4 linked regions of the Diceros bicornis minor genome follow. Each later gene encodes a partner of the first gene's protein in a complex. Links are inferred from orthologs where the notes say so. Each region holds a gene or a part of one and is shown on either strand. Other genes may lie near its edges. The genes, in order: NCAPG, NCAPH, NCAPD2 and SMC4.

What was found.
Region 2: the proteins of NCAPG (region 1) and NCAPH are in contact, whole or in part, in a crystal structure (PDB 6IGX), measured with the Homo sapiens proteins. The link is inferred for Diceros bicornis minor from reciprocal best matches to the Homo sapiens genes NCAPG and NCAPH. Residues at the interface, in NP_071741.2 of Homo sapiens: Lys11, Phe14, Arg15, Gln18, His50, Tyr51, Lys53, Tyr54, Val55, Met56, Val57, Glu62, Ala64, Val65, Val68, Phe102, Ser106, Glu108, Ala109, Asn110, Ser111, Val114, Arg115, Ile149, Arg150, Lys152, Asp153, Lys154, Arg159, Glu188; in NP_056156.2 of Homo sapiens: Glu471, Ile472, Asp473, Phe474, Glu475, Asp476, Asp477, Ile478, Phe480, Val482, Tyr483, Phe484, Arg485, Lys486, Thr487, Ala489, Ala490, Thr491, Ile492, Leu493, Gln501, Asn502, Trp503, Ala505, Thr506, Thr507, Leu508, Phe512, Tyr514, Val516.
Region 3: NCAPG (region 1) and NCAPD2 share a complex: the UniProt entries of both Homo sapiens proteins name them as parts of the condensin complex. The link is inferred for Diceros bicornis minor from reciprocal best matches to the Homo sapiens genes NCAPG and NCAPD2.
Region 4: NCAPG (region 1) and SMC4 share a complex: the UniProt entries of both Homo sapiens proteins name them as parts of the condensin complex. The link is inferred for Diceros bicornis minor from reciprocal best matches to the Homo sapiens genes NCAPG and SMC4.

The regions. Positions count from the first base shown.
Region 1 is NC_080747.1:14,138,898-14,146,319, reverse strand, and holds the start of NCAPG (condensin complex subunit 3), read right to left. Parts: upstream 3,049-7,422; 5' UTR 2,955-3,048; coding exon 2,844-2,954; intron 1,859-2,843; coding exon 1,655-1,858; intron 1,140-1,654; coding exon 911-1,139; intron 1-910. UniProt on the Homo sapiens protein: Regulatory subunit of the condensin complex, a complex required for conversion of interphase chromatin into mitotic-like condense chromosomes.
Region 2 is NC_080779.1:16,183,416-16,191,213, reverse strand, and holds the start of NCAPH (condensin complex subunit 2), read left to right. Parts: upstream 1-4,778; 5' UTR 4,779-4,838; coding exon 4,839-4,857; intron 4,858-5,172; exon of another isoform or gene 5,173-6,041; intron 6,042-7,798. UniProt on the Homo sapiens protein: Regulatory subunit of the condensin complex, a complex required for conversion of interphase chromatin into mitotic-like condense chromosomes.
Region 3 is NC_080756.1:55,179,500-55,187,339, reverse strand, and holds the start of NCAPD2 (condensin complex subunit 1), read left to right. Parts: upstream 1-4,827; 5' UTR 4,828-5,160; exon of another isoform or gene 5,161-5,173; intron 5,174-5,951; 5' UTR 5,952-5,974; coding exon 5,975-6,101; intron 6,102-7,840. Other genes in the region: MRPL51 (large ribosomal subunit protein mL51), read right to left, coding at 3,167-3,363, 3,800-3,910, 3,995-4,073. UniProt on the Homo sapiens protein: Regulatory subunit of the condensin complex, a complex required for conversion of interphase chromatin into mitotic-like condense chromosomes.
Region 4 is NC_080754.1:66,299,597-66,307,638, forward strand, and holds the start of SMC4 (structural maintenance of chromosomes protein 4), read left to right. Parts: upstream 1-5,032; 5' UTR 5,033-5,205; intron 5,206-5,922; 5' UTR 5,923-5,932; coding exon 5,933-6,041; intron 6,042-6,878; coding exon 6,879-7,057; intron 7,058-7,528; coding exon 7,529-7,720; intron 7,721-8,042. Other genes in the region: IFT80 (intraflagellar transport protein 80 homolog), read right to left, coding at 4,584-4,667. UniProt on the Homo sapiens protein: Central component of the condensin complex, a complex required for conversion of interphase chromatin into mitotic-like condense chromosomes.

The sequences.
Region 1 (7,422 bases):
TACATAAAGAACTCCAATAAATCAATAAAACAAACGAACAAAAAAACAGGCAGAACACTTTAACAGGCATTACATAGAAGAAATATAATTGGCTGCTAAATATAGGAAAAGATGCATAACAATGACGTATATCATACACATAACCAGATTAACAAAAAGTTAAAAATCTGACAGTACCAAACACTGGAGAGGATCTAAATCAATTGAACACTTTCATGCACTATTAGTGGGAATGTTAATTGGTAAATTGTTTTGTAGAACACTTGTACCTCATCTAATAAAGCTGAATTCACACATACTCCAACAAGTTCACCCCTAGGTAAATACCCTAGAAAAACTTGAGCCTGTGCACCAGAAGCCATGTATAAGAAAGTTCATAACAACACTGTTTAACAGCAAAATAACTGGAAACAACTAGAAGGTCCATCAATATTAGAAATATTAAACTGTGTTACATTCATACAACAGAACACTATACAACAGTAAATAAATATATCAACATGGATGAATGCTACAATTAGAAATAATGTTGAGAGCACAGAAAAATATAGTATGATCCACATAGCATACAAAATGACAGGCAAAATTTAACATTATTTAGAGATACATACATGTGGTTAATTGTTTAAATAAAAAGGCAAGAGAATAATTAACCCAAAATTCAGGATAATGGTTAACTCTGAGGGACAGTGATGTATGTAATTGGGGTGGGACGTAAGATAGGTTTCAAGGGTACTGATGATGCTCTATTTTTTCAAGTTAGGCAGTGGCTACTTGGGTATTTTTTTAAAATAATATATATAAAACACCTATACTCATCCATACATATAATTCATAATAAAAAAATTTGTCTAATGAGAATTTAACAAAGTCAACGAAAGTGAAAAAGGATTTAGGGAGCTACACGTACCATTAACCACTGGGCATTCATCATCTTTGGGATCCTGAAGACGTGAAAGAGCCAGAACTGCCTGTATCCTCACATTTGGAATTTTATCTTTCAATCTAATAAGCATGGCTTCATTAATTTTATCAAACAACTCATCATCAATCTGGGCATTTTCTGGCATACTTCCCAAAAGCTTGTTTATGAGCTGGCACACTCTAAATCTAACTGCATTGCTGTTTGCTTCATGAGACTGAAACAGAAACACATCAAAATTTATTCATAGTCACATACTATTACTAAATAATCACACACCATTTGAATTATATGTTTAGAATTCAAGACGTTACAAAGGTAATTCATTCCTTGCAGAGAAACCATAATGCTACCTTGACTCATAGGAAAACTAAATATACAATATATAAAAGCTCAAAATATACAGTCAGAAGTAAATATGGGCTCAATTACAAGAGCATATTCCCCTCTGTAGGAACTCTTACTTTACTTCCAAAATAGAGAACTCATTTAAAACACATGTATGTGATAACTGGTTTAGAGAAGTCACTAAAAATTTAACGCTGGAGTTATTTTAAAAGTCCACCTTTTAATCTTAACGACAGTTCTAATATTTCCTATAAAAAGCAGACTCATTCACAGACGTTCTCCATTATCAGATATTTCATTCTCTAAAACATACACACTCCCAGGTCCCTTTTAATATAGTAAAATTTTCTACAGTACTTCCCAAAGTTCTAGTTTTCATAATACCTTTAATAGAAAAGTAAACAAATAATTTAAAATGTCACCATCTTCCTCTTCCTCCTCATCTTCCGGATCTGACTGGTGAAAGGAAGTAACAAACTTGGCTGCAAATTCTACGACCCTCTCCACAGCTGGTTCTCGTTTATAGACCACCATAGCATATTTAAGGTAATGAACGAACTCCTCATGAAAAACTGTTTTATTATCCATCTGAAAGACAAAAGAAACCTTCACAAACTGCACTGATAAAATCCTTTTTTCCCAACATTACCCTAAGACTGCTGAAAGCACTAGCCATAACTCAGACAAACCAAAATTATTTAGTAAACTCTCAATTATCCAAACCATCAAAGGGGACATGAATTTGCACGAATTTCTCTCCAGGGACATTTAATTCTCCTAGGGAGAAAACAAACGCGAATTTTGACAGTGAACGGATTCCTTTGGTATTTTTTTTTTTCCAATACCCTTGAATTCTCCATACGCCTTGGTACCGGTTTAAATACGCTTCATGAACAACCCAAAACCAACAGGGCTTTTACATTTTACCATATGTAGCCTTATCGACACACCAATTTCCTTTTGACATAACTTTCACATCCCTTCTCATATCCTCAAGCCCTGTTATACTGACTCACCATTTTTCTTGGACTTCCAGATAATTTATTTTCCCGAAATTCACTGCCCTATTCTTCTCACAGCTCCACTCAAAAACAAAACAAAACAAACCCCCAAAACAAACAGTATTCACGCGAACAGAAGAGCCAGGTGCTAATGACGCATCTGCTCTTTGGTGGTTTGACTCAATGTACCCGGGGGGCGAGGTGAGAATGCTGTGACTGGCGGTCGCTGTGGGCGGAGACCCGAGGGACACGACCACCGCGTCCAGGAGCTACCCTGCGGCCCAAGACTTGGTGCCCGGCAGCCCCGGTGCCCGTAAACGTTCCTCTCCGAGTTCACCGCCCGACAAACGATTAACGGTCCGCGCCAAGGCCGCTGTGAAGAGGGGGGGTGCCCGGGCGACCTCGGGCAAGTCGCCAGACCTGTCCCCGAACCGGGTCGGGAAGGGTAAGGAGGTTGGCGTCGCGGCGCCGAGTCCGGAGGGTCAGCGGAGGCCCCTGGGGGAGGCTGGGGGAGGCTGGCCGGGGAGGGCGGGGCGGCGGGGCGCCCGGGACCGCGGGCCGGCCGCGCTTACCAGGCCGTAGGTGCGGCTCAGCGCCCTCACCAGCTTCGCCTGATTCTGGTGCGGCTGCTGCGCCAGCCGAAAGACCTCCTTCACCGGCAGCAGCCTCTTCTCCACCCCCATGGCGCCGGGACCCCGCTGGGACGAGCCCTGTCCGCGCTCGGCTGCAGCTGCCGGACCGACCACAGGCCGAGTAGCCGCAGAGTCCCGTCAGCCGCCGCTGGGCGCCCAGGGCGTGGTTACCGCCAGACTGTTTAAATAACTCCCGCGGGAGACGGAAATACCGCGAGACTGCCGCGAGAGCTTCAAGAGGCGAGAGCGGGAAGAGATGGATCCACCCCTCCCTCAAACCCCGGCGTTTGGGCGCATGCGCTTAGCCTCAATCCAGTCATTATCCGAGTGGGAAGTGGCGTTTCTAAGAGGAGGGGGCGCCGGCTCCCCCGGAAGTGGTGCCGGCAGGGAGGGTGAGCGGAGTGGCGCTGCTTCTGTTGGGACAGAGCTCGTGGCGCTAGGCCTAGCCGGGTCGTGTGGCTGGGCGTGAGGCGCGAAAGGAGAAAGGAGCCTCCATGGGTGAGAACAGGGAATCTGCTGAAGGGAACAATCCCTGCTCCGCCTGAAGGGGAGCAGGGGATCCCGGGAGGAGGGGTACATTTGGAGATCCGTCGAGAAGGGAAAGATAGGGGGGCGGCCAGCGGCCCGGCTTCTACGAAGAAGGGAAACGTTGCCGGGTCTGCCGAGGGGGGCGTTCCGAGGTCTGATGATGGAGGCGCCGCCGTCTTTTTAAGCCTTAGGTCCTCGGTTTGTGGAGGGTCTGCAAAGGAGGGAGACCGTCCGAGAACCGCTGCAAAAGGAGGCACGGTTTAATTTAGATACAGCTTATTCCAAATGTACCCGCTTTCGAGGCCCGGTTACAAAGGTGCATAACGACAAGGTATTCGACAAAGCAGAAAACAGAGAATGGAAAAGTGTTTAGGTAGTGGTTAAGATAAATTTGGAGTGCCTTGGAGCAGGAACTAAGCCTTTAAGCTTTTTTAAAAAAATGGAATTATATCAGACAAAAACGAACACCTCCGTACCCACAACCAGCTAAAGAAATAGATTAAAAGCCGCCTGTATACAGTTACTATGAATTACCTTCCCTCCCCAGCTGTAACTGATTTTCTGAATTTACTGTCCATTTTTATGTATTAACGACATGAATAAATCACAGGATAGGTATATTGTATTGTTTTCACATTCTAACATTATATGAGTAATCATACATGCAGCTTGCTGTTTTCGATCAGTATTTTTTTTGAGGTTTGTTCATATTGATACTTTCATGATAATAACTTAAACCTTGTGGGCTCTTATGTGCTAGGCACTGTTATCAACACTTAACTTCATTTAATCCTTACAAATAACCCCTGTAAGGTAACTTCTGTCTCCTTTTGAGATGAGGAAACTGAGGCACAGACGGGTTGCTGTAGTATTCTATTGTATGAATATGCCATAATTTATTCATCCATTCTCTTGTTTCATATTCCTAATTCCTGAAATGTTGTAGGTATTCAAATGCTAGTTAAAGTAATGAATATAGTAGCATTTGGGTTGCCAGTAATTTAAAAATTACAAGATGTCTAGTTTCTGAAAAGGTGAGAAGGGTAAGTATTTTAGGTTAATCAGCTGGAGGAGAAGCATAGAGCCCTAAGAATGCATGGAATACCTATACTGATAACATTTATAATCTCACTATAGCTAAAAGGCAGAATGCCTGGAAAGTTGTGGTGAAAGAAACCTAGAAAGGGCATTAATTTTTTAAGGAAGTATATCCAAAATATTATCATTTCAACATGTAATCAGCATAAATTATTAATGAGATAATTTACATTCTTTTTTTTCCCTGCTAAGTCTTTGAAATTGGGTATTATTTTACACTAGCTATATTTCAGGTAGGCACACGTGGCTAGTGGCTACAGTATTGGACAATGCAAAACTACGGATTCTTACTTTGAGAACCACTGTATATGCCATTCGTTTTACATGTAAAGTCAACTAGTAAACAGAAAATTAGAACAAACTAATATTTGGAGGCATTTTTCTTATTCTGTGGCCGTTAATTACTCAGCTTTCTTTATGCTTTGGGTCCCTGATACCTTTATTGCTTTGTTTGACTGTGAAGTTTCTAACAATATTATTTCCTTTATTTTATATGATTGTTTCACCACAAATGAGAGATGACTTCATACCATTTTGTCAGTTACAGAAGGATGAAGGGTCTGGCCACCAGAGGTCAGCCTAACTATATTTTGATTAGCTTTTTTTTAGGATTAATAACATGTTTTTGTTCAGTATTTATTGAACATTATAATCTGAAAAATTTAAAAAAAGATACTAGATTTCAAACTGAAAAGGCAACCTTTGGAATAGGAGAAAATATTTGCAAACCGTACAGCCCATAAGGAGTTAATATTCAAAATATATAAGGAACTCATACAACTCAAAAAAACAAATAACTTTATTAAAAAATGGCAAAGGACCTGAATAGACATTTTTCCCAAGAAGACATACAAATAGCCAACAGGTATATGAAAAGATGCTTACCATCACTACTCATCAAGTGCAAATCAAAACCACTGTAGGACATCACCTCACACCCGTTAGGGTGACTTATTAAAAAGTCAAAAGATAAGTGTTGGTAAGAATGTGGAGAAAAGGGAACCCTTGTTAATGTTGATGAGAATGTGAATTGATACAGCTATTATAGAAAACAGTATGGAGTTTCCTCAAAAAATTAAAAATCTTTGCCATATGCTCCAGCCATCTCACTTCTCTCTGGGTATATATTCAAAGGAAATAAAATCACTATCTCAAAGATATGTCTGCACTTGCATGTTTATTGCAGCATTAGTCACAAGCCAAGATATGGAAAAAACCTAAGTGTCCGTGGAAGGGTAAATGGTAAAGATGTGGTGTATACACACACACACATACACAATGGAATACTATTCAGTCTTAATAAGGAAGGAAATCCTATAATTTGAAAAGCACAAGTCAACCTGGAAGACATTCTGCTATGTGAAATAAGTCAGACACAGAAAGACAAATATTGAGTGATCCCACTTATATGTGGAGTCTAAAAAAGTCAACTCAAACTCATGGTAACAAAGAGAAGAATGATCGTTACCAGTGGCTGGCAGGTAGAGGAAATGGGGAGATATTGGTCAAAGGGTATAAACTTTGAATTATAAGATGAGTAAGTTCTGGAGGCCTAATCTACAGCGTGGTAACTATAGTTAATAATTATATATACTTTGAAATTTGCTAAAAGAGTAGATCTCAAGTGTTTTTACCACACACAAAAATGGTAACTGTGAGGTGATGGCTATAGCTTGATTGTGATCATTTCATAGTGAATACATATATCAAAACATCACATTGTACATGTTAAATGTATACAATTTGTCAATCATACCTCAGTAAAGCTGGTAAAAAAGATGCTATATTAACCCTAAACATCAGTCTCACTGCCTTAAAGCTTACCTGTTTATTGACTTTGCTTTTAGTGCTATGGGAAAAAAACAAATAATAGCAACTATGGGAATACGTCTCTTCCTATTCTGGGTAAACTTAGTTTAGTTGAAGAAATAATGAAACTAAAGAATTTGTATGGTAAGGCTATCTAGTTCTGAAATCACAGAAAAATCATTCTTTAAAGGTAAATTATACATGGGAGTATATAGAGTAGATGTGGTTAATTCAATTTTGATATGGGAAAATTATGCACATGGCATGTAAAGGAGTAGCAGTGATGCGTTCACTCTAGAATTTATATATGCCTTCAAAGAGACTGTCTTATTTCTGCTAAAAAAGTAGAGTGAGCCTTTTAAAGAAAGCTTTGAGTAACATAATTGAAGTATAGCCAATTAATAATCTTGGCGATGGATTGAAAATAGTAAAAATATAAGAGAACAGAAGAATTAAAAGCCAATAGCTTAGCCTGTCTCAATTAGTAAAATAAAGACTTGTGGTATGTTTCGAATTTTCTTTTTGTTTTCAGATTGAACTAGGTAATAATATAAACTTCAAAGTATTTGCATTCATGTTTCTTCTTAAAGCTTAGGTTATAAGCAGTTCCCTTTATATTGCTTTAGTAGCATCATTGTTGATCCTGCTTTAAAAAAATTTTCATTTGTCTTTGTCCCACATATTACCAAATTACCTGAATATAATTTGGAAATTTTTGTCTCCCTAGAATAAAAATAGAACACACTTGTATTGTTACTTATAGCAGGACTTCGTCATTCTCTCTTTAATTCTTTTAAAAAATTTTCTAAGCCCCTGATATGTGCCACACAATGCTGGGAACTGAATTAGATAGAAAGAACATGTGGAAGCCGGAGAAATATTCTTTAAAGGAATATTACTGATGTGAAGACATACGGTATGACCTTATTAGCACAACTCTGTGTATATTTGAAACTAGACCTGTTTACTGACGTTCATTTTGGAAATCACTCCTACAGAATGGCGTAAATGGGATGTTGATATTTTGGTTTTTGCTTTTTTCATTTAGAGCTATGCGTTTAGTCCATCCATGTGGCTGTGTATA
Region 2 (7,798 bases), on another chromosome or scaffold:
AAACATTGTCAATGGTGACTTGTCCCAGAATTGAGATAATGTATTTACTAAAATTAAAGAGCCAAAATCTGATGAGCTTCTCAGTGCCTGGAAGCAACATTATAAAACCCTTAATGAAGACAATCTTTTGGGGGGCTCTGAGATGAACAATTACTGTTTCTGGGGGAGCCACTTGTTTGTTAAATGGAAAGAAGGTTGAGCCACCATGTGTAGCTGTCTGTGCTTTTTCTCAGTCTGGTAATGCCTTTGTATTCCCTTTTCAAAGATCACAAAGGGATTATTTGAACTGTGTTTGCGGTTTTGTAAAGTGGGGTCATCACAATCCAGGCCCATTGCCAGGGTTGGACGGGAAGGGACTGTGCAGCAGTCCAGTTCTAACAAACTCTGGATTCTGGAGATGTGGTTGGTATATCTTTCCCTTCTTTTAAACCCTTGGGCATCCTGAGGAGGAGTGCTAAGAAATGTGACTCTAGCTGTGGGTGTGGTTGTTTTGGGAATACCAATGCTCTTCCTACCCTGCATGCCAGGAAGATCTGCTGGGGAGGAGAACCTGGCCCCACATTTAATTTGACTCAGGGGGGTTTAGATCCTGGCTGTATGGGCTTTGGTTGTAGAATCCACACCCTCCCCCCAGCAAAAATAAATTACAAGTGTCCCAGAAGCTGATGCCAGTCAATAGTTGGGGCTCCCACTGCCAATAGCTGCTGTGTTCCCCTGTTGTCTGCTGGTATCTGCCAGGTACTGCTTTCGAGTTAAGATGCAATGATGGTTGGTTCGATGCTAGTGGGATTTTCATGTTTTATAAACATTCATATGCCTTTTGTTTAGAAAATAATTTGCTGGTGTTTTGCTTCCAAATCAATAAAGGAGGCTATTTTCTGTATCAGTTGGCATCCGTGCAATGACACACACAGCACATCAGCATTCTCACATGCCTGTTCCCAAGAAGTTCATGTTACCCTGATAGCTTCATCCAGTACATCCTGGTATTTCTCAACGTACCTTGAACCCGTCTGCCCTGTGGTTTCCCAGTGGCATGGCCAGTAGCCAGAAAAGAATAATTCAGAATATGAAGGAACATTGAAGGTATTCATTTGCATGGTGCCCTAAATATCAGCCAAATTAAAAGATCTCAGTGGCTGCAAACAACATGCGTAAGCTCTAGAAGGCATAAGTCTGTCAGGTAGAAAGAAGGTGGTATGTTCTAGAACTGCATGGGTTCTAGTCTAGTAAGAGGCAAGAAAGAAAACGTAAAGTTATGAGTGGGCAGAAGACTACAAAGGGAACAGTCAGTGAAGCCTGGGTGGGGCAGAGGGTGTAAGAAAGAGTATAGAAAAAACAAGTAGTAATGGAAAGAACAGAGCTGGAGTGCTCTGGGAATACTCTTACAATGAAAGTGGAAACTTCTCCAGATATGTAGGAAGCTGAGTTTTATTCTGAAACAATACCTGGCTGGCACCCAGGATATAACAGCAGTTAAAGTAATGGGAATCCTTAGCGTCCATTGAGCACTGCCAATGGTCCACGCACTGGGCTAAATGCTTCACATCTGGTAACTCATTTAATCCTCACACTATAACCCCATGAAGTGGGTGCTTTATCTCCATTTTACTATGAGGAAACTGAGTCACAGAAAGGGTACACAACTTCCCCAAGGTCACACAGCTAGTAAATAGCAGAGTCTGGAAGAAAATACCTGTCCTAGCAACCTTCCAGCATGGTTTTGGGAATAAAACAAGATGTAAGGGTTAAAGTGCTTGGAAAAGCAAAAAACGTTATATTAATTTTAAGATAAAGGGTAGCATGTTGTTTGGAAATTCTAGAAGACAGAAATTGTTGGTTCTTAGCCCAGTCTTTAGGAGGTCAGGAATTTCATATCACATACAAAAATTAAAGGCATTTGCTCAGAGGCCAAAATGAATGCAAAGCCATTTCAACTACATGCCTGTTGAGCCCCAGTGACTTGATGGTTTATATCATGAACTACATTATGATATAAGCCTGCTGCAGCCTGGAAGGTCGGGGCAAATTTGAAGGCAAAAGATTGCTTGTTCAGGTAGCCAACTGATTGACACTATTGTTCCTCACCTAAGCTAAGGCTGTTTGCCCTCCATTTTGAGGAAGTAGAATCTTGGCGAGGAGTGAAATGGGGAAGGGGAACCAGTGCTGCTTTTCTGGCAGACAAGGAGTCGGGGAGGGGCCCCACTACTTTATTTTTGTACAAAGGAAATGAGCTTTGCATAGCACTGATACCACTGATAAATCATTCACTCTTATGGCACCCTCATAGTCCTAACCCCAAACAACAAAGACGGCATTCAGAGTGGGAGGTGAATGATCTGTGTGCCTGCACCCAGTGGGCCTGGCCCACAGAAACGCAGGGGGTGGAGCTGGCTCTGCCTTCCAGCACATGAGTCCCAAGCAGTCAGCTCAGGAGGCTCCATTATAACCAGAGAACAGCCTCATGCCTCACCTAACGGGTCACCTAGTAGCCTCCTCTGCCAGGAGTTCCAAGCCAGTTCTTCAGAGGCTCCTCATTCAGTGCAACCTACCACCCTCCCAACCCCCACTGCTCTTAGTTGGCACACACACGGAACCCAGAGGATCACAACCTGTTCCCACTCTCCTCTCTCAAATGCACAGTGCTCCACTTCAGCGGCCCGGGGTTCCCGGGTTCAGAACCCCGGGCACAGACCTACACAGTGCTCATCAAGCCATGCTGTGGCAGCATCCCACATACAAACTAGAGGAAGACTAGCACAGATGTTAGTTCAGGGACAATGTTCCTCACCAAAAAAAAAAAATCAAATGCATTCAGCACAGAGGGAACAAGTGAGTGAGATGACAGGGACTCTAGTGTACTCTGAGCCCATGTGCTCACAAGTTTAATCTAATACCTAATTCCTCATCAAGCCCAGAGAAAGACGGTTTTATCATCACTATTTTATAAATGGGGAAGAAAATGAAGCCCAGAGATGTTCAGATGCCCAATCCAGGATTTAAACTTGTCTTCCAATATCGTTCATTCAATACATACTTAAGTACTTGCTGTGTCCAGGGCTAGCACCAGGCCCTGGGAAAACAATGGTGAGCAAAGACACAGCTTTGTCCTCATGGAGGTGACAGTCTATGGAGGAGCCAGACATGAAAGAGTCACCCCAGCAGATGTAAAATTGCAAAGGTGACAAGTTCTACTAAAGCCTCCAGTAAGAACAATTGAGCGATATCAGGGAAGGCCTCCTTGAGGAAGTGACGTGAACTGAAACCTGACGGTAGCTAACCGGGTGAAGATGGGCATGAAGAGGATCCTATGTGGAGGACGTGGCATGTGCAGAGGCCTTGTGGTGGGAGCAGGCATGGTGAGGGTGAGTCTGAAAGAAGGTCCAGGTGACTGGAGGGCAGGGAGCAAGGGGAGGCAAGGTGCAAGATGAGCCTGGAGAGGCTGCAGGGACCAGACCCTGCAGGGCCTTGTAGATCACTTTAGAAGTTTCCAGAGCAGTGGAACTTGAGAGTGGTTTTAGACTTTGGGGAGGAAGTGACAGGTCGGATTTGTCCTTAGCAACCACCACCCTGGGCCCAATGAGAAGCGGGTCAGAGTGGGTGTGGGGCTGCTGCAGATGAGCAAGAAAATAATGTGGATGGAAAGGAGAGATGCAGGATTGAAGAGATTTTTTAGGAAGTAAAGAGCTCAACGATGGATTGTACAGTGTGGAGAGTGAGGGGAGGGAGGCATCCAGGATGGCTCCTGTGAGCTGATTTGGGTTCTTGGGAGGCTGTATTCACTGAGACGAAGAATACTGTAAACTTTTTCTCTATCCCACACTGCCTTACGCTAAAGATTTGAAGGTGGTCGCTGGGAGCACAAGTTCCTGAAAAACCAAATAGGTGTAAAAAGTGGTTTTCAACAAAGGGTAGTGCTTTTTGGTTGCCAGAATGACTGAGGGGCACTGATGGCATGGAGTGGGCAAATGGTGTCAGGGTTGCTGAACAGTCCTACAAAGAGAGCAAGAGTCCCACACGTCAAGAACTGTTTCATCCTGAATGCCAATAGCATCCTTAAGAAACACTATAAAATGCCAGGTGTGTATTATAAGAAACTATAGGATGTTCTAGGGATATTTGGAGGAATTGTCCTGGCCTTTTCCTCCCATAATACAATTCTTGGGATCAGATGAAGCAGAATGAAGGGATAGGTGGCACATGACACCCGTCTCATTTCCAACCTTAACTTTTTTTTTTTGAACGGGGGGTGGAGATATCCAGGAAGCTTTTCTCAAAATTCTGAACAAAAACGATGGCCTTCCTTTAAAAATCTACATGCAACATTTTGCATCTGTCCTTCCCCTGCCTGGAACGCGCCTCATTCCGGTGTGGGCTCCTTTTCATCTCCGTCCCACACCCAGCCCATCACTTGCTACCTCCTTAGCGTTTTGCTACCCTCACAGCACAGGTCGCTATGGGAAATCAACTCGTTTCCTGGTAATCCGCTTCCCCCATTAGAAAGTAAATTCCGTGAAAGCAGAGCCCTCGCCCTTCCTGCTCCACGCTGGGTCCTTAGCGCCCAGTTCCGCGTCCAGCGCCGAAAGCAGGGAGTTTTCATACCATTTCGGAAGGGTGCACGAACCCGCTACAGTACAACCACCGGATCCCAGTCCCGAGCCCTCAATCCGCGACGTCTCACTCCTCCGCGGCTGGCGCGAACCTTTTCCCGCGGAGGACAAGGAGGTCTGCGCAGGCGCGCCCCTGGCCCCGCCCACAGGCGACGTCACTCGGGCCGTTACGGCGCGCAGGCTGTTACGGCGCGCGATTTAAACCGCTCCAGCGACGCGGGGAGAGAGATGGGAACTCTCTGCCCAGGTGAGGCTGGGTGGGAGGGGGGCGCTGCGGGGGGGGCCCGGCGCGAAGCGGTGCTCCGAGCGGGCAGGGCAAGCGGGCCTGAGCGGGGAGTGCGGATGTTCTCCGCCTTGTTCTCTGCGGGCCGAGGGGGAGTGAGGCCGGCGGCGGGGAAGGGACAGGCGGCGGGTGGAGTGCGCTCCGCCAATCAGGACGCGGCTCTGGCCAGCGTCGGGAGCGCGCGCGGGCCGGCCCCACTCGTCGGTTCCCGAGCGGGGTGTGGGGCGCCCTCCCCGCTGGGGTCCTACACCGTGCCTGGTGTCTCTCCATTAAGAAGGGGGTGTTCCTGGAGTGCACGTTAGTTAGGACCCTCGAGGCGTTGTGGTTACCGCTGTATGCTTAGCGCGCACGCATCTGGTTTTACATTCGTTCAACAAGTACTGAGCGCTCCCTTTGGGCCAGACCCTCGGTCAGGTGCAGAGATACAGTAAAGAACAAAACAGACACGATCCCAACCTCTGGGAGCTTGTATTTTAGTTGAGGAGACACAGTAAACAAACGAAACAATTACAGATGAGGCTGTGATTGAGAAAAGCGGAGTGGGGGAGGGGCCCCTATGGATTAGGGATTCAGGGAAGATCTTAAAGCAGAGACTGGGCAACGTGTTCCAGGCAGAAGGAGGCAGTGCAAAGGGCAAGCAGGAAAGCCTGGCTTGGGCTAGGATGGGAACACTGGCTAAATAGTGAGGTCACTCAGGTAGCCAGGGACTTTGTAGGTCTTGGTAAGAGGTTTGGAAATTTAGAGTTACGTTTTGGACATAGTAAATGACTTACCCGAGAGACAGTCAGGTGAAGGAGTAAATAAACACTTGGATAAGAGTTTGACACTTAGGGGAGTGATATGGGTCAGGAAAGTGGCCCATGGATTTAGAAATAAGTTTGGACATCATCATCATCATCATGTAGATCGTAAAACCGTGAGATGACCGTGAGATGACTAGGAAGACCCTGTAGAGAAAGCACCCAGGGCCAACATTTAGAAGCTGGATAGGGAAGGAAGAGCTGGAAAAACTCAGAAGAAAGTGGTATCATAGAGGCCAAGATTGTTTCACGAAGCAGGAGGTTGTCAGCTGTTTCAGATACTGTTGACTCTCAAGAGAGATGAGACCTGAAAAGTGACCGTTGGATTGAGTGACCTGGAAGTTGCAGGTGATTGTGATAAGATGCTTTTCATTAAGTTGGGGGATGGGAGCCAGACCGGAGGTGAGGAAGTGGTTGCAGAAAGTGTTTTTGAGCTCAGTAACCATCTGTTGAATGAACAGGTGCATGATATTAAAGGCAACGAGGGAAATCAAAGAATATTCCAAGAATTGAAGCGTGTGTCTAATTCCCATCTTGAGTCTCCCTCCTAGACAAGTTCCTCCCTCAGTGCTTCCTATTTCTGTTAAGGTCTCTTCTGCCAAGGTCCAGTTCCCTTCCTTACCTTGCAGTGCCCACACCGAATAGTCACAAGCCTTTTTGGTTCAGTCTCTAAAAATGCCTCTTGCCTCCTTCCGTTTTTACTTTTTCTTTTGTTTGTTTTGACCTCAGCTGAGAGTCATGTTAATCATACACTTCAGCTGGTGGGAAGCTATTCGGGGAAAATGTAAAGTTCTTGTATTTTTTTTTATTCTCTTTTGTCTCTATTCACCACTCCTTTTCCCTTTCCCCTCACATGGGCAATCATTTAGTATTTATTGTGTATCACTGTTTTTAGTGTGTTCCTATAAAATGTTATATTGTACTTTTTTTTTTCTTTGTGAGGAAGATCAGCCCTGAGCTAACATCTGATGCCAATCCTCCTCTTTTTCCTGAGGAAGATTGGCTCTGAGCTAACATCCGTGCCCGTCTTCCTCTACTTTATATGAGACACTGCCACAGCATGGCTCGACAAGCAGTGTGTCGGTGCGTGCCCGGGGTCCAAACCAGCGAACCCTGGGCCGCTGCAGCGGAGAGCGTGCACTTAACCGCTTGCGCCACTGGGCTGGCCCCCTATATTGTGCTTTTTTTTATATCACCAGTTCTGAACCAGCTGAGATGAACATTCTTGTTCTCATTTGGAGGATGAAGAAGCAGGTGCTTGGAGTATTTACTTGCTTGAAATTTCTCCAGCTGGTTAGTGATGGAGCTGGGGTTTGAAGCCAAGCCTTCTGATTCTTAAATCTGGAAACTCCCTTAAGGTCTCTCAGTTCCTTCATCTCTTTCTTCCAGTGATCTTGTTTCTTGCCCTACCATAATAGGCCATAGCCACTGACTACCGTAGTCACTCCGTGACTTTGTCATTATCAACAGCTGCAACCACTCTATCTCAATCTTAAGCACCCCACTTCCACTCATATCTTTCCACCTCCCTCCCCCTTGTTCCCCGACGCCAACAGTCTTTTGACCCGGCAGACCTATGTTCTGCTTTTCACTGTCCCTCATCTCTCATGTCCTCGTTCCCCTCCTTACTTAGCTTACATGCCGTGGTCAGTCAACATAATCGCTCCCTTTCATACACCTGTAACTCCTTGCCGTCTTGCTTCTTTACACCCGCTTGACAAAATCATAACCCTGGTTAATCCCGGCTCTTCCCCAGCCACTGCACACTGATAGCTTCAAGGGGCCCTAGAGCTGCCCAGCAGTCATGCTGTGTTCCCTGCTTCTTCCCTCTCCTTCTCCTGGATGACTGTTCCCTAATCTCCTTTCTCTCCTAAAGTCGCCAGTACCTCGTCCCTAGCCCTCACCCTTAGCTGCTGAGTTTTTGGTTTTTATTCACCTCCTATTTTACTAAGAAGATAAAAGCAATCAAAAGAGAACATCCGCAAGTCTGCCATTGCACCCCCTCCCCTCTCTGCATCTGTGCCTGTGTTCTCTGCCTTCCTGTTGCTATGGATGGGCTGTCTGTGCTCTCAGCAAAGGCAACACCTTTACCTGCTTGAGTACAT
Region 3 (7,840 bases), on another chromosome or scaffold:
ATCTAACTCTTGCCTCCATCTCCTGCCCTATCTTTGCCATGCACTTTAGCTCCACCAATAAATACCACTCACAGCTTTCCCATACACACCATGCTGTTTCTCTCCTCTGGACCTTTGTTTCTGTTTCATCTGCCTGGAAAACCTGCTAGCTTCTACTCCTTTAAGACAACTCAGTAATGGCCTTCTCCAGAAGGCCTTCCCTACCCCCACTCCTGCTCCCCCAGGATGAGATGTGTCCCTCTTCTCTATACTTATGTATATAGGTATTAACAAGCTTTAAATGCCATGATAGGGGCCGGCCTGGTGGCTTAGCGGTTAAGTGCGCACGCTCTGCTACTGGCGGCCCGGGTTTGAATCCCGGGTTCGCACCGCGCACCAACGCACCGCTTCTCCGGCCATGCTGAGGCCGTGTCCCACATACAGCAACTAGAACGATGTGCAACTATGACATACAACTATCTACTGGGGCTTCGGGGAAGAAAAAAAGGAGGAGGATTGGCAATAGATGTTAGCTCAGAGCCCGTCTTCCTCAGCAAAAAGAGGAGGATTAGCACGGATGCTAGCTCAGGGCTGATCTCCCTCACAAAAAAATAAAAAATAAAAAAAATAAATGCCATGATATAATGAATTTTATAATTATTCTTCTTTGTGTGCCTCCTGCACTAAGTAGAATTCTTTAAATGCAGGAGTAGTATCTTTTTTTTCCTTGTATCCCTAGCACCTACTGGTGGCCTTCAGTGAATGGCTGTTGAATGAAGGACTCCTAGAGATATTTATCAAGGGCCTATTAAGAGCCAGTACACAGAGACCAGATATTAGATTACTGCAGTTATCAAATAAGGGCAAGACAGTCCCTGCCCTCAGTGGGGATGAGGCATACTTAATGGGGAAGACAGACACAAAGACACATAAATCCAAGTAAAATCAAAAAGCAAAAATATTATGAGTTAGAGCCTCAGACAAATCAAAGAAAAGGGACCTTAAAAGGCATTCCCTTTCCTTCTTCCATTTTCCAAAGCAGTAATACCCAGACCTGTCTGATTCCAAAGGCCATATTCACCAATAGCCTATACCAGAGACTAGCCATTATCAACCCTCCAAGAAACACAAATAGCACTTTTAACCCACATAAAAGATTTCTTTAAAAGCAATACATCAAATACTTTCCTTATTTCATTCTGCAAATATTTATTGAGAGTCTACTTTAGGCACTGCAGACATCCTAAATTTAACCCTAATCAATACACGATTGTAGAAATTGCAGCGACATTTTTCTCCTCTCAATTGGGTAATGTCAAACTTACTTGATTCACAGCCAAGCAAGTTTTTAAAAGTCAGAAGAGCAGATAGTGTCCTACTTCATTCTAGCTAGATCTACCTCGCCACCTCCCAACAGATCTGTGTTCTCTCACCACACACCACTCATCACTCGTCTCTGCCCCAGTGGAAATGCTTTCTCTGCTTACTGAAATCCAATCTCTTGTATGAAGCCTCTCCCGATTAGGCCAAATATATTCTCTTATCTAGGTCATTTATTGTCCACATCAGTGCTTTCCACACACTGCTAAATTCACCCGACTGCTTTTAAAATTAGAATTACCTAAATTTAAGGGAGTCATACTTTGAAAAAGCAAAAGCCTGGAAACAATCTAAATGTCTATCAAAATGGAACTAGTTAAATCATTACGGTACATAATGTGAGGATATAAAACAGTATCCAAGGTATATTAAGTGAAAAAGGTACAGAACAGTGTGCACAGAATCTTTTTTTAAAAGGAGATAGTTAATAAACTTCACATGCATAGTGTACGTCCAGAAGGATTAAAAAGACTTGTAAGAGTAGTTGCCTCTGAAAAGCACAAAAAAACAGGCCGTGAGAAGACTTTTCATCTGATTACCCTTTTGTAATTTTTAAATTTTGTGTTGTTTGTATAGATACATTTTTTGTAATTATTAAAAAAACACACACAGATGCATAAGACTCAGCTCAGCTCTACAGATCACAAATCTTTGGGGGCAGGGCCCAGGCCTTTGAAATTATTAAACCACCCAGATGATTCTGATGATCAGTCAGGCTGGGGAACCACCCTTTCAAACCACTCATATGGTCCTTAATGCCTCATATTGAAGTGTACATGTGAGAATATAACTTGATACCCCTAACTGGAAAAGCATATGGAGGGAATGGGAAGGATATATTATGCTTTTTTGTTTTTCCTACAGTTCTCAGCTGAGAAAAGTTACCCAATATTTTTTTATGAGAATAGTGCAGAAGTACAACTCCATTTTTCTACTACATTTCATTCCAGTATGGAAAGGTTTGTAAAAGCACATTTAACATAACAGCATTATGGGGCAATTAAAAATTACCACTTTCAGGGCCCGGCCCGGTGGCGCAAGCGGTTAAGTGCGCGCGCTCCGCTGCGGCGGCCCGGGGTTCGCTGGTTCGGATCCCGGGCGCGCACCGACGCACTGCTTGGTAAGCCATGCTGTGGCGGCGTCCCATATAAAAGTGGAGGAAGATGGGCACCGATGTTAGCCCAGGGCCGTCTTCCTCAGCAAAAAAAGAGGAGGATTGGCGGATGTTAGCTCAGGGCTGATCTCCTCACAAAAAAAAAAAAAAAAAAAAAAAAAAAATTACCACTTTCAGGGGCCGCCCCGTAGCTTGGCGGTTAAGTGCGTGCGCTCCGCTACTGGCGGCCTGGGTTTGGATCCCGGGCGTGCACCGATGCACCGCTTCTCCGGCCATGCTGAGGCTGCCTCCCACATACAGCAACTAGAAAGATGTGCAACTATGACATACAACTATCTACTAGGCCTTTGGGGAGAAAAAGCGGAAAAAAAAAATCACCACTTTCTATACATGAAGGGCCAAATGTCCAAAAATGCCAACAATAATCTTTTTTAAAGGCCATAGGTATGGCTAGACTGCAAAGGGCAAGTGGTGAAGTCCAAACCTAAGACTTAGGGAAGGGTCAGACTGCATAGTCTAGATGAACAGGTAAAAACAGCATCTAGAGGAAAACAAAGTGTGTGGATAACAGATTCCAAAGAAGCTCCATTTTATTACAGAGAGCATACAAATCCCTTTCCTCTTAAGGGAAAGTACTGTCCCTCTTCTGCTGGGGGATAGATGTGCCTCTTCCACAGCTCCCAGCTTTCTCTTCTACCGATACTTTCCATGTCGGTTAAAGTGTTTGTAGAGATAGCTGATGCGTTTGTTAAGGTTGTGCAGGTCATCAATGAACATCCGATTTCCAACCATTTTCTTCTTTCGGATACAACGCTGCAATTCATTCCCCTTCCAGCCTCGAAGCCATCTGGGGCCCCTGATCAGTTCTTTGGGGTGCTTTTCAAAGTTTCCTGTGTAATGTGAGAGAACATATTAGCTCCAAGAGGAGAGAACCCACCCTCCACCAGCTAAGCTTTCAACACACAGTTGCATCCTCCTGAGCAACACCCACAGACAAGACACATTACACTACAGTATCAAGAGAACACACTCTGGAGGTAGACTGCTTGGGGTTCAATTCTTACACTCCCATTTACTAGCTTTGAAAAATTACTTAACCTCGCTGTGCCTCAGTTTCCTCACCTGTAAAGTGAAAAGGTTATTATGAGGATTAAATGAGTTAATACATGTAGGGCACTCAGAACAGTGCAGAACACAACGTAAACAGCCACACAAGTGTTTGCTCTTACGACTGACAAAGGTACCATTCCTACACAGGTGAAAAAAAGATAGTCGCTACGGCATAATTGCCATTCTGAAATCCTGTACCATGAAGTCGAGTCTTACCCAGGATCCCAACGTTGTCATACACCCCGAACATGGCCCTCTTCTCGTTCCAACGATCAACTACTTTGGGGGGCGGGAGGGTGACCCTTACATGGAACAATCCAGGAACACCTAGGGATGGGGAAGAAAGGGAATAAATCTGAGCCGCTTACTGAGAAGCAGTTCTCTGGACGTCTTTCCACATCAGCCACTTACCCAGAGAGAAGCTTCTGCAAGCCAGGGGCACCCAGCCCCTTAAGGCCCTGCCTGCCATCCAAGAGAGGCTCCCTGCCATGGCTCTCGTCTCCGCCCTACAACAGCACACCGCACGCGCAGAAGAGCGAGGGCCAGACGTAGTCTTCAAGGAAAGCACCGGGACTGCCCCAGCCGACCTCACACGGGTACTACACGGAGGCAGCCATCTTGGGCTTTACCCAGGTAGCTCCGGGCGCAGGGCCCGCCTTGACCCCGCCTCCCCCACCACAAGCCCCACCCTCCGGGTTCCGGTTCGCGGAGGCCTCTACACCTCACGCCTCCAACCCGCCCGCCTAGGCGCTTCCGGCCTCCGCGCCGGAAGCTCTGGAGCGCCAGGCTTGCTCAGGGATTCATCTCGTCGTTATGCAGGGCGCCTCAAAACTGAATTTCAAGAAAACTCACCCTTTCCTGTTTCCTTGGGCATCCCTCAACTGTGAGGGAGATGAGGGTCCAGAACCTGGAACCCAAAGCTTCCTGTCTCTGTGCCTCACAGCAGCTTTGCGCTGTAGCTGTTATTAGCCCTATTCTACTGGGGAGGAAATCTGAGGCTCAGAGTGAAGTGACCTGCTGGACGTCACACAGCAGACGAGATGGCGGAACCTGGATTAGAGCCTAAACCTTCTAACTCCCGGCCTGGACTCGCCGCCTGTCCTGGGGGTGACTGAGTGGGTCTCTATCCCAGGGGCACTACCACTGCCCACCTTGATACGCGGCATTTCTGGCAGGCACTGCCCGGGCCGCCTCCCCACCGACCGGGGAAGAGGAGGACCCAGTGGGCGGGAGGCAGCCGCAGGACTAGGGGGGCTGGGGACGGGGGGCTGGAGTCCGAGTCTAGGCCCCGCCCCTCCCTCGGCGGCGCCGCCGGGCTTTCCGGCTCCTGCGCTGTGATTGGCCTGTTTCTGCAGCGAGCGTCGCGATTGGCCCCCTTGCGGCCGTTGAGTTTTGAACTCCTGTTTGCGGTTTTGCCCGCGCGGCGCGGGGCTCTGAGACGGGTTTTTGCCTCCGCCTGCCGGGGATTGGCCGGTTTCTCTGCCTTCTTGAGTGCTGCCTAACTGATTGGTGCGCACTGTGCACCCCGTGTTTTCTCGTTTGTTTCAGCCCCACAACCCGAATCGGAGGAACGGAGGGTGAGGTTCTCGGGTAAGGTGTGATGTTAGTGGGGAGCGGGGAATGAAGGGCCGGGAAGATCGGGTCCGGGGCAGTGGGCCGCGGTGGTAGCAGCGTGCGAGAGGCAGGCGGTCTGGTGGATGTATCCTTGCGGAACGATGTGGTAGAAACAGGATGTCTGGCATCTGCAGCGGAATTGGGGCAAATCGCTTAAACCTTTCTTAGCCTCGATTTCCTTATCTGTAAATTGGCTTGTATTATTTTGCATTCCATGAGATTGGAGTTTGGAGAATTAGATCAGATATGATATATTCAAATAGCCCAGCAAAATCTGGCGAAGAGTAAACAAGCAGTAAGTGTTAATACCCTCCCATCTGGAGCCAGGAAACCCACTAGCCCGTGCTGGGCCGCTGTTCTGGCCTCAGGTGAGACATTCTATACTTAAGTTTTGCCCATAAAAACAGAAATAATAATGCTAACTTAACGCATTGGTATGCCACTTTACAGTTCTTTAAACACTTTCATACCCCTTGACTCATTTGATCCTCAAAGCAACTTTGTAAAGTAATCAAAGATTAGTAATCCTGTCTTACAGATGAGGCCCAGGGGGTTAAGTGACATGACCAAGTGGCTGAGTTGCAACTAGAAATTAGATTCTACTCCAGGGTCCATCTCACATCCTCTAAGATAATGTTATCAGCTTGATGTAAGACTGAAAAAGCATTATATGTTGGAAGAGGGGGTGAAATAATGGGACCAGGTAAAAAGGCCTTAAATACAGACCCTGACCTGTTGGCTGTCTGGTTTCCAGCCAGGTGAGCCAGTGGGAGAAGGATGTCTCCCCAACTGTTTGAGTTCCGTCTGCCCTTATCCCCGGAGGAATTGTTGAAAAGTGGAGGAGTGAATCAGTATGTTGTTCAAGAGGTACTGTCCATCAGAAATCTTCCCTCACAGCTTAGAGGTAAGACTCCATAGCTGCCGCTGTGCCTAGCACTTCAGAACAACCCTCCCACATGTAATTTATCGTCTCTCTGTTCCACTACACCACTAAGCTCCATGAGGGCAAGGAACGTCTTTCCTATTCCGTACTGTTTTCACCCTAGCACTGTGTACAGGAAGAGTACACTCATTGACTACCTTCTCTCAGTTGTTCAGTAAACAGTCTTGGTGTATATGGTTACTTTTGGGGTGAAAAATTATTTTAGATCTTTATCTCTTACCATATGCCAAAATAAAGTCCTGGTGGATTTAAGAATTATAGGAGAAGATAGCTTTCTCAGAATGTCTGGGACTTGACCTGACCTGTTTCAGGTAACACTTTTTTGGAGTCTAGATCTCTTGTTTCCAAGAGTGTTCAATAATCCAAAAAAACATAATGTATATGTACAGCTGGAACACTGTACAGTATATGTACAATGCAATTACCTGTTGAAACCTATAGATGACCCAGAACAGTTTATGCATTATCAGCAAGACCTGTAATGTCACTGTACTTATTGGAAATGGTCTTGTATCCGTTAGGTTGCTTTGGAGGGGTACATAGAGTAGAGACTAAGACTCTGGAGCCAAGCTGCCTGAAGTTGAATCCTGGCTCTACCACTCTGACCTTGGACAAGTTACTTATTCTCTTTGTCTCGGTTTCTTTATCTGTAAAGACAGGGATAATAACCTACTGCATTTATTATCTGCTACAACAAGAAGGGGTGGTTAATGCAGCAGCTTGATAATATAACTCCAGCTTGTCTCTTGGCCGTCCCATCATGATTGCCAGGTGGCAGCTCTTTGCTCTCATGTCCAGAGGTAGAAAAGGGGATTTCCTATCTTGTTCTTTTTCCTTTCTTCTTTCTCTTTTTAAAACTTTACCAGAAGCCTCCCAACCAGAATTGGATCATGTGCCTATTTCCCTAACTAATTACTGGTAAGGGAAATAGAATTACCCAGATTGGCTAAATTGATCAAGATTATTACCTAGGAGCCTCCCCAAACCTGGGCATATCACCATTTGGTAAGCAAGGAACAAGCTGGAGTGTGGAGGTTGACTGATGGGTGGCCAGCCAACAATGTCCATAGATAAACTGTTCTCTCCATGTTGTGTGGATATGTGTATCACCAATTGCACATGCTGTACAAGATAGCAAACTCTTGTTCAGTTATTATAATGCATTATTTTTTTAAATGGATGATCACTCTCTTTAAGAGTTCTTTTTTTGACAATTGCTTTGCTTTTGGTGTTTAGAACCCTAAATACAAATTCTACTATAAATATACAAGATAAAATCTAATTTGTGCAACAAGTATTTACTAATGATATGCTATTTGCCAGGCAGTGTTCTAGGCACTGGAGATACAACAGTAAACAAAACAGACAAGATGACGAAGTTCTTTCTCTCAAGGCTCTCACCAAGTAATTAATAAATATGGAATATGTCAGATGGTTGTTTAAGTGCTAAGGAGAAAAATAAATCAAGATAAAAAGGATACAGTGTGCCAGGGTAGGGACTGGCATTTTATGTTGGATGATTAGAGAAGGCTTGCTGATAGGTGACATTTAAGCAGAGACCTTAAAAGTGAAGACTGTGCAGATTCTCAAGGAATGGCATTCCAAGCAGACAGAAGAGCAGTGCCAAGGCCTGAGATGGGAAAGTGCCAGTATGGTTGGAGTGGAGGAGGCTAGGAAAAAAAGAGGTCAGGTGGGAAGTG
Region 4 (8,042 bases), on another chromosome or scaffold:
GATGTTAGCCCAGGGCCAGTCTTCCTCAGCAAAAAGAGGAGGATTGGCAGATGTTAGCTCAGGGCTGATCTTCCTCACAAAAAAATAAATAAATAAATAAACCTAACAATGGTTATATTTTTTTTCACAAGATCACCATTTTCATTCTCTTTGCAGTCTCTACCGTACTTTACCCCCTTCTTATTGCAACTCTCACCTAGTAATCTTCCAGATACGGTACTTTGTTTTCTTCCTTATATAAAATGGGGCTAATAATACCTACTTCACAGGTTGGTTATGAAGATTAAATGAGATCAAGGACGTAAAATATCCAGTAGAGTGCCTAGAACATAGTAAGAACCTAACAATCATTAGATCTTTGTAGTGAAAATTGATGTCTTTGTCACTCTTCACATATTCACTCTTTTCCTAGCTACAAAGAATTTCTCCTTGGAACACCCACTTTCTCACTCTTAGCCCATGTGGCTTGAATGGAGCCAGCATGAGACCCAGATTTAAGCCAATTAGAGCATTCCATTCCCTTTGTACTAAGACTGTTTCACAGATGGCCCAGGACTTTTATTCAAATAAATCATGGGGAAGAAAAACTCTCCTTACCCTCAGTCCTTAATTTTAGAAGATTTGAGGCTGGAGTTACTATATCTTACCACAGCAAAGGGAGAGCCTGGAGGTGCCAGAGGCCACTACATGGAGCCCGAGAACAATGCCACGACAAAGGAACGCAAAGGAAAGCAAAGAAAGAATCCGAATCCTGGTGTCTTTGTTTGGACACTGAATCCAGTTATACTCATCTGCCTTTTTCGTTATGAGAGCCAATATGTTTTTCTCAAGACAATTTGGATTCGGTTTTCTGTCACTTATAATCTAGAGAGTCCTACCTGAAACATTGCTATAATTATTTCTTCTTCCTAGATTCTAAGAATGGACATTTTCTGGGTGATCCTCTCTTTACTCACAACCTTAAAAACCTAATCTATTTTTAGCATTCCAACTATTCTTATAACACTATCTCATCCTGTTTTCTCTACTGAGCCTATTCTCTCTTATCCTATTCTCCACCTCTACCGCCCACTGGATATATCTTTCCTAATCCCAACCTACATGAATAAAAACAAACTCATCTTTCAAAACGGTCTTTCTCCCCAAACTGTTCCACTTCTTCACTTCCTACTGTTTCTGTATTAAGACGGATGAGAGTTTCAGCAAGATTAATGTACTAGGGGGCTTATATTATCAAGAGGAATATTCATTACTATCTGTCCTGTGTCTATATCCTATTTATTAATCTTGAATAATATTCTCTAAGTATTTATACATTAGTTACATAAATTCATGTTTATTTGTTCATTTTGAATTATTAGTTAATATCTAATTAATCCAAATATTTACAATTACAAACTTGATTAATATTTTTAAACATTTACCCACAAATCTAATTTAAGACAATGAAATGTTATAACCACATTAGAAGACAGACAAAACACATGTTATTGCTATAATAACAAAACTTAACCACGCACTTAAAGAATTATAAATGTGGATTTTAACTCTAATTCCAATTCTTCTCTTTGAACTTATTCTTATTTCTTCCTGTGGGATACAATTTTACTTTTAAAATGTAAAATGTGAAAGTTCTCCTCTCAGACTCAGTATAGATAACGGTTGTTAGTAGATGATTTTGGACCAGAAAGATGAAACTTGGTTATACTTTCCAAAATGACTGTAACCTAGTCCATTCCAATTGGACCAGCTTCTTTTTATAATTAAACTCTGTTAATTTCATGAGACTTATCCAAAGCATTAGCAGGCCTCAATCGAGTACTTCTTGTGACCCTGATCTCTTCTCAAATCACTTCTTCATTTATTCAGCGTCCTACTTTCACTCTAGACTTAAGTCTACTCTGTAGCTGTTTGTTATGAATGCCTTTTCTACATTATACAACCTGGTTTAAGCCTGTTTTTGTGTGTGTGTGTGAGGAAGATCAGCCCTGAGCTAACATCCGATGCCAATCTTCCTCTTTTTGCTGAGGAAGAATGGCTCTGGGCTAACATCTGTGCCCATCTTCCTCTACTTTATATGGGACACCGCCACAGCATGGCTTGACAAGTGGTGCGTCAGTGGGCACCAGGGATCCGAACCTGTGAATCCTGGACCGCGGAAGTAGAACGCGCGCACCTAACCGCTACACCACCAGGCCGGCCCTCAGTTTAAGCCTGTTTGAAAATATTTGCTCTGAGTGGAACATGGTTAGGTTCAACTAAATCTAAAGCCATCGATCACTTTATTGATCTATTGAAATTATATTTCTTTTTCATCAGTCGTTAAGATCTACCATTATTTACAGTAATCATCAAAGGCAGTAAACTAGGATTTATCTGTGACTTATCCTTCTTCCTATCCCCTCATCACTAATTCAGGGATTTATAAACAAAGAACGGTATCTGACTAACTTTAAGGGTTTAGACTCTTTTTTTTTAAAGAACATTTATTGAGATCATAGTGTACTGGAAATGTCCTAAACCTTTATCAGTTATTTTTTTCCTCTTTTGCTGAGGAAGATCCACCCTGAGCTAACATCTGTTGCGAATCTTGTTTTTTTTTTTTTTTCCTTGAGGAAGATTAGCCTGAGCTCACATCTTTGCCAATCTTCCTCTGTTTTGTACATGGGTCCTGCCACAGCATGGCTGACAAATGGTGTACGTCCATGCTCGGGGTCTGAACCCACGAACCTGGCCACTGAAGTGCAGTCTGCCAAACTTAACCACTATACCATGGAGCTGGCCCAGGGTTTAGACCCTTAACCATTAAAATCTGCAAAAGCTATAGATTTTTTTCCCCTTAAATGTGTCTGGATTTTTTCCATTCTATTTGTAGGCACTTCTCACCGTCCACATGGAGGACTGTACAGTAATAATCTAACTAAGTCATGCCTGATCTCAGTCTCTTTCCCCTTTAACACAATCCACATAACTACTGTTAATTTTTGTTTTTTACCAAGTCATTCCTTAGCTCAAATTTTTTCTAATAGGTGTTTCCTCCATATCATATCTAACACCCTTGACCTGGCTTTCAAGACCCTTCATTAGTTAACCTTTTTCTAACTTGACATCCCATTATTCATCCTTAGCACATACCCTAAGAAGGTCAATGTCATGAACACAGCAATATCAAATGCATATAGCATGTGTGCTAGATGAACAATCATAACCAATCCTATGAGGTGGGTATTATATGCTGGTTTTATAGTAAATACTGTCAGAGAGTTGATAAATTAAGTTGTTCAAGAACGTAGCTAAAAAATGATAGGATTTGGGATTCTTTTCTCCGTTACATCTTTCTACTACATTGTGCTCTATCTCCCATATACACCACTCAACATGGTCTAGACCTGCTTTTTTCATGGTTGATATCTCTCCAACTCAGGTTTTGCAGTGTTTTACAAACTTCGAAAATCCAACAGATTCCAGAAGCTCTCAAAGAGAATTGCTACATTTTCTTGGTATGCCAAAGAATTTCTCTCATTGAGCTTTATTGTCTGTAGTTTGTCTTATGAAAATAATAATTCTTTTTTCAACTTCAAATGTAAAGGTATATTATAATATCTATTCAAACCACAGTTTCCCAACCTCATCTAATACACCTGCAAGGAGTGTCCTTCACACCCCTTCTTGAGAATCCCTGGACCAGGCCTGACGCTCCTCAGGGCAAAAGTCATAATACTTACTTAGAATCACAACGTAAATTCATTCATAAAGCAGATTTATTGGTGCTTTAGTATGCCAGGCCCTAAGTACACAAAAGTTAAAGGAAAAAAAGACGGTCCCAGTTCTCACTGTCAAGTACGTAAGAGTCGCTGAATAAATACTTACTCAAGGTAGTCAAATCAACCAGTTAACATTGTGGGGCATTAGGACCACGTTTGAGAATCTGATCAAAGTTCTGGGAAAACTAACTCCCCAGAAAAATGCACAAACACACAGAATTTTGTATATAGTTTCCGGGGGGGTTATGAACTCCTTTGACGCCCAATCACCTACCACCAGATCCACAGATTCCAGATTAAAAACCCACTAACAAAACTAACATCTCTGGAACAGGAATACTTGCTTAATAATCCTGATTATGCCTTGCACAGTGTAATATACACAAAAGCTACTTAAGAAATATTTGCCGATCGATAATTTTCTCATAAAGAGAACCAGATGACACTGGCAAATCGTTTCTTCCATTACGGAGTTTTTCAGTCAAATGATTTTAAAGGCCCAAAACCCCGTTTCACCAGTGACGCTAATGACCTAACCTCAGTAAATCAAAATCGTTATTTTGCTTTTCACATGTGGACTACACGATCGTTCAGCAATTCAGGTCCTCTCTCCTCCTTGCTGTCCCACCACTCCCTCCACACTCATGGCTTCCTCCTTGGCATCCCAAAAGTTCCGTCCAGAGCCCCACTGCCCCCAGGGAGACGGAAAACAACTGACGCTCTGCGCCGCACACACCGTCTAAGCAGGATGGTGGGATCCAGTGATGGCCACAACTTCCAAACCCTTTCCGCACGACGTCTGGAAGGGAAGAGATTTACCTTAAGGTCCAGGAAAGCGGTGGCACTTGTTATCGCAGAGCTAGGACCGGTTACCAAGCAGCCTCGCAACCTCCCTGTCACCATAGTGACTTCTAAGATCTACGCTCACTGCGTCTTCCCGCGATACTTCACCGCCGCGCGCCACCCGAGCGGGCCCGAGGCCCCGCCCTCAGCGAGCCCGCCCTCTCCTTCAGGGACGTTATTGGACGACTGAGCCCCGCCTCTAGCTGTGGGCGGAACCCCACTCTTTTTTTTCGTGTGTTTCAGAACTCGCCAGATTGTTTTTCTTTTTTTAATTTGTTATAAAAGTGGTGTTGCCGTAGGCCATCGGGAAAACACTGTTTCGCTCTTCCTTTTCTCTTAGTAGAAACATCCCCTGCCGCGTGGGTCCCGCCAAGAGTTCGCGGCTGCGCGTGAGCGACCAGAAGATGGCGGTGATAATCGCCGCATTTTTTTCAAATTAGTGGTTCCCAGAAAGCACTGCGCGCATTTGTAACGAATTTCCGTTCGAGTTTGTATTTTAGGCGCCATTTTCGAGTGAAGGACCCGGAGCCGAAACACCGGTAGGAGACCGGGGGCTGCGCAGCCGGTCCCAGCCCCGGTCTGAGTGGACTGTCCGCAGGTAAAGGCCTTCCTTCCTGCCCAGGCTCTCCCACTCTCCCTTCTCGTCCGTCGGCGGGCCCCGGGCAGAGGCCGGCGCCGGGCGGCGCGTCCGGGCTGCGGCGGGGGCTCTCCGGCTGTCACCCCTCCCCCGCGCTCCCGCCGCCGTCGGGGGTCCGTCGGCCGCGCGGAGCTCTTCCAGGGAACACGGGCTCTCCCGGGCAGGGGCGTCGCCCCACCCCGACCGCGGGTCCGAGCCCGTCCTGCTGACCCTTCGTAGTCGATGACCCAGCGGCTTGTGCCGCGCCCCGAGGGACCGACGCCGCCGCCCGGGTGACTGAGCCGAGCCCGGCTACCCGCGCCCAGTTGGGAAGCGGGGAGCGGGCGACCGCGGCGGGCGGCCATTGGAGGAGTCTCCCGGCCCGAGGCGGGAATGGCATCTCCGGGCGCGTGACCTCGGTTAGGAGGACACGAGAACATTCTGTGACTCCTGTACCGTGGGCGAATGGGGGGCATTACAGAAAGCAGAAGGACCGAAGGCCCGGGCACGTCTGGGTTCCCCCGCTCCCTTAGCACTGGGATCTAAGCGATCCCCCCCGCCGCCGGGCACCTGGGGTCTTGTGCCTGCCTTCCCGAGGCCGGCTGGCCGGAGCGGGCTTGGAGAACGGCCCTCAGGGCCCGGAGGACGGGGTTTTCCCGTCGGGCCGGGCCCGGCTGACCGGCTCCCGCCCTCCCCCAGCCCAGCCACCATGCCCCGCAGAGGCAGCCAGCCCTCTACCGCCCGGCGCCGAGAGGAAGGGCCGCCGCGGTCCCCGGACGGCCCCGGCCGCGCCGCCAGCCCGGCCGCCGAGGCCGCAGGTGAGTGCCGGCCGCCCGCGGGGGAGCGAGCCGCGCGGGGAGCGGGTGGAGGGCTGCGGGGTGGCGTTGGAGGTCGCGTGTCGGGCCCCCAGAGCAGCTCAAGAAAGCGAGTTGGCGATTTTCAGAGATTGGACTTCGCGCACTGTCTCTGTAGCGGTGCTGGAGGGGATGGGGGCGAGCAGTGGCTTCAAGTGTGCGTTTGTGGCCTTGTGTTTCCGCGGCAAGCGGCGCGGGCAGCCAGTGTCCGACAGAAGCAACCTGCCTGTATGCTAATACGATGAAAAGTTGCTTGACACTTACTCACCTCACCTCCGGGGTCTTCAGTTGCGTTTAAACAGAAGATGAGAATTGACTCGGAACCGCATCGCTTTTGTGAGTCCGGGAGTTGGATGACATTATGCAACTCCTGTGACAGTATCGCTGGAGCTCGTGAGTGTCCGAAGTTAGGGTTCCAGGCTAACCCTAAGTTAGGCTCCGTCTCAAAGAGACGGAGAGAGCTGCATTTAACCACCTGTTTAGGCGGGAGCAGGGAATTAGGTTGTTGTGGTTTCCCCAGATTTGCTTGATGATGTAGTGTTTTGATTCCTAAGAGGTGTATTTCTATAGAATTTTGTGACTGGTGGCATTTCTTTCAACAATTTTTTTTTTTTTTTTTAAATAAAACCAAGCTGAAAGATTCTTATCCCCGGTGAGTTTAGGAGAGTATTATATTTAAGTGGAAAATAAAGGTTCATAAAGAATATGTCTCCAGAGATTAGCAGGCATTAGTCCTCCGAACTAATTGCACTAATGCAGATTTTTTTTTCCTTTGCCTTCCGTTTTCTCTGCCTGATTTAGAGACTCCAAGTGAGGAAATTGATAATAGAAGTTTAGAAGAGATTCTAAATAGCATCCCTCCTCCCCCACCTCCAGCAATGACCAATGAAGCTGGAGCTCCTCGGCTTATGATAACTCATATTGTAAACCAGAACTTCAAATCCTATGCTGGGGAAAAAATTCTGGGCCCTTTTCATAAGGTATTTGACCATTTGAAATAACTGTTATAAGGTAATGTGTCTTTATTATAAGATGTTTCAATTGTGTAACTATTGTAATTATCCTGATCAATACACACAGGGCATGTTTCCTATCCTTTTAACCACTGGATTTAGCTTTTGTTTATCTGGTTATCTTTGGTACCTCTTTATGCTGTAAAGTTTTCCTCGCTAAATAGAATTGGTGAGTTTTTTGTTTGAAGGGTGTGTTTTCTCTATTAGAATGAATTTTGTAAAAACTCTGAGTGAGAATTAGAATATAGTCTTATTTAATGTGTTGAAGCTTGTGATGGAGGAGAACATGATGTGACAACTTAAGTTGTGTTATCTTCTAGCAGTAAAAACTTTGAATAGTTGTAGTTTGCTGCAGGTAAAAAAATCAAGCAGATTAAAATCAGTAGAATTAGTATGACTTTTTTAACTTTATTTTTTTTTTCTGTTCTTTTTATGCAGCGCTTTTCCTGTATTATTGGACCAAATGGCAGTGGCAAATCCAATGTTATTGATTCTATGCTTTTTGTGTTTGGCTATCGAGCACAAAAAATAAGATCTAAAAAACTCTCGGTACTAATACACAATTCTGATGAACACAAGGACATTCAGAGTTGTACTGTAGAAGTTCATTTTCAAAAGATAATTGATAAGGTAGGGGACTTGGACTATTTAGCTATTTGTAACTTCAAATAAGGAACACAAAAGATTTCAATACATTGCACATTTTATTATTTTTGGCTTAAATTGGCCTTCAAATATTAGTATATGGTTAAAGCAGAACAGATATTGATTTCATTACCCCCATGACCATATTTTCTTTTTGAGGAGTGGTGGTGGCTGCCATTAAACTTAAAATATTAAAATTTTTAGCCAGGGAAATGAATTACAAGTAGCTCATAGTAGTGCTTACCTTTTTGAAATAAAACATTGAGCAGTTTTAGTATCCTAAGAACTAAATAGGCATTCGTTTACT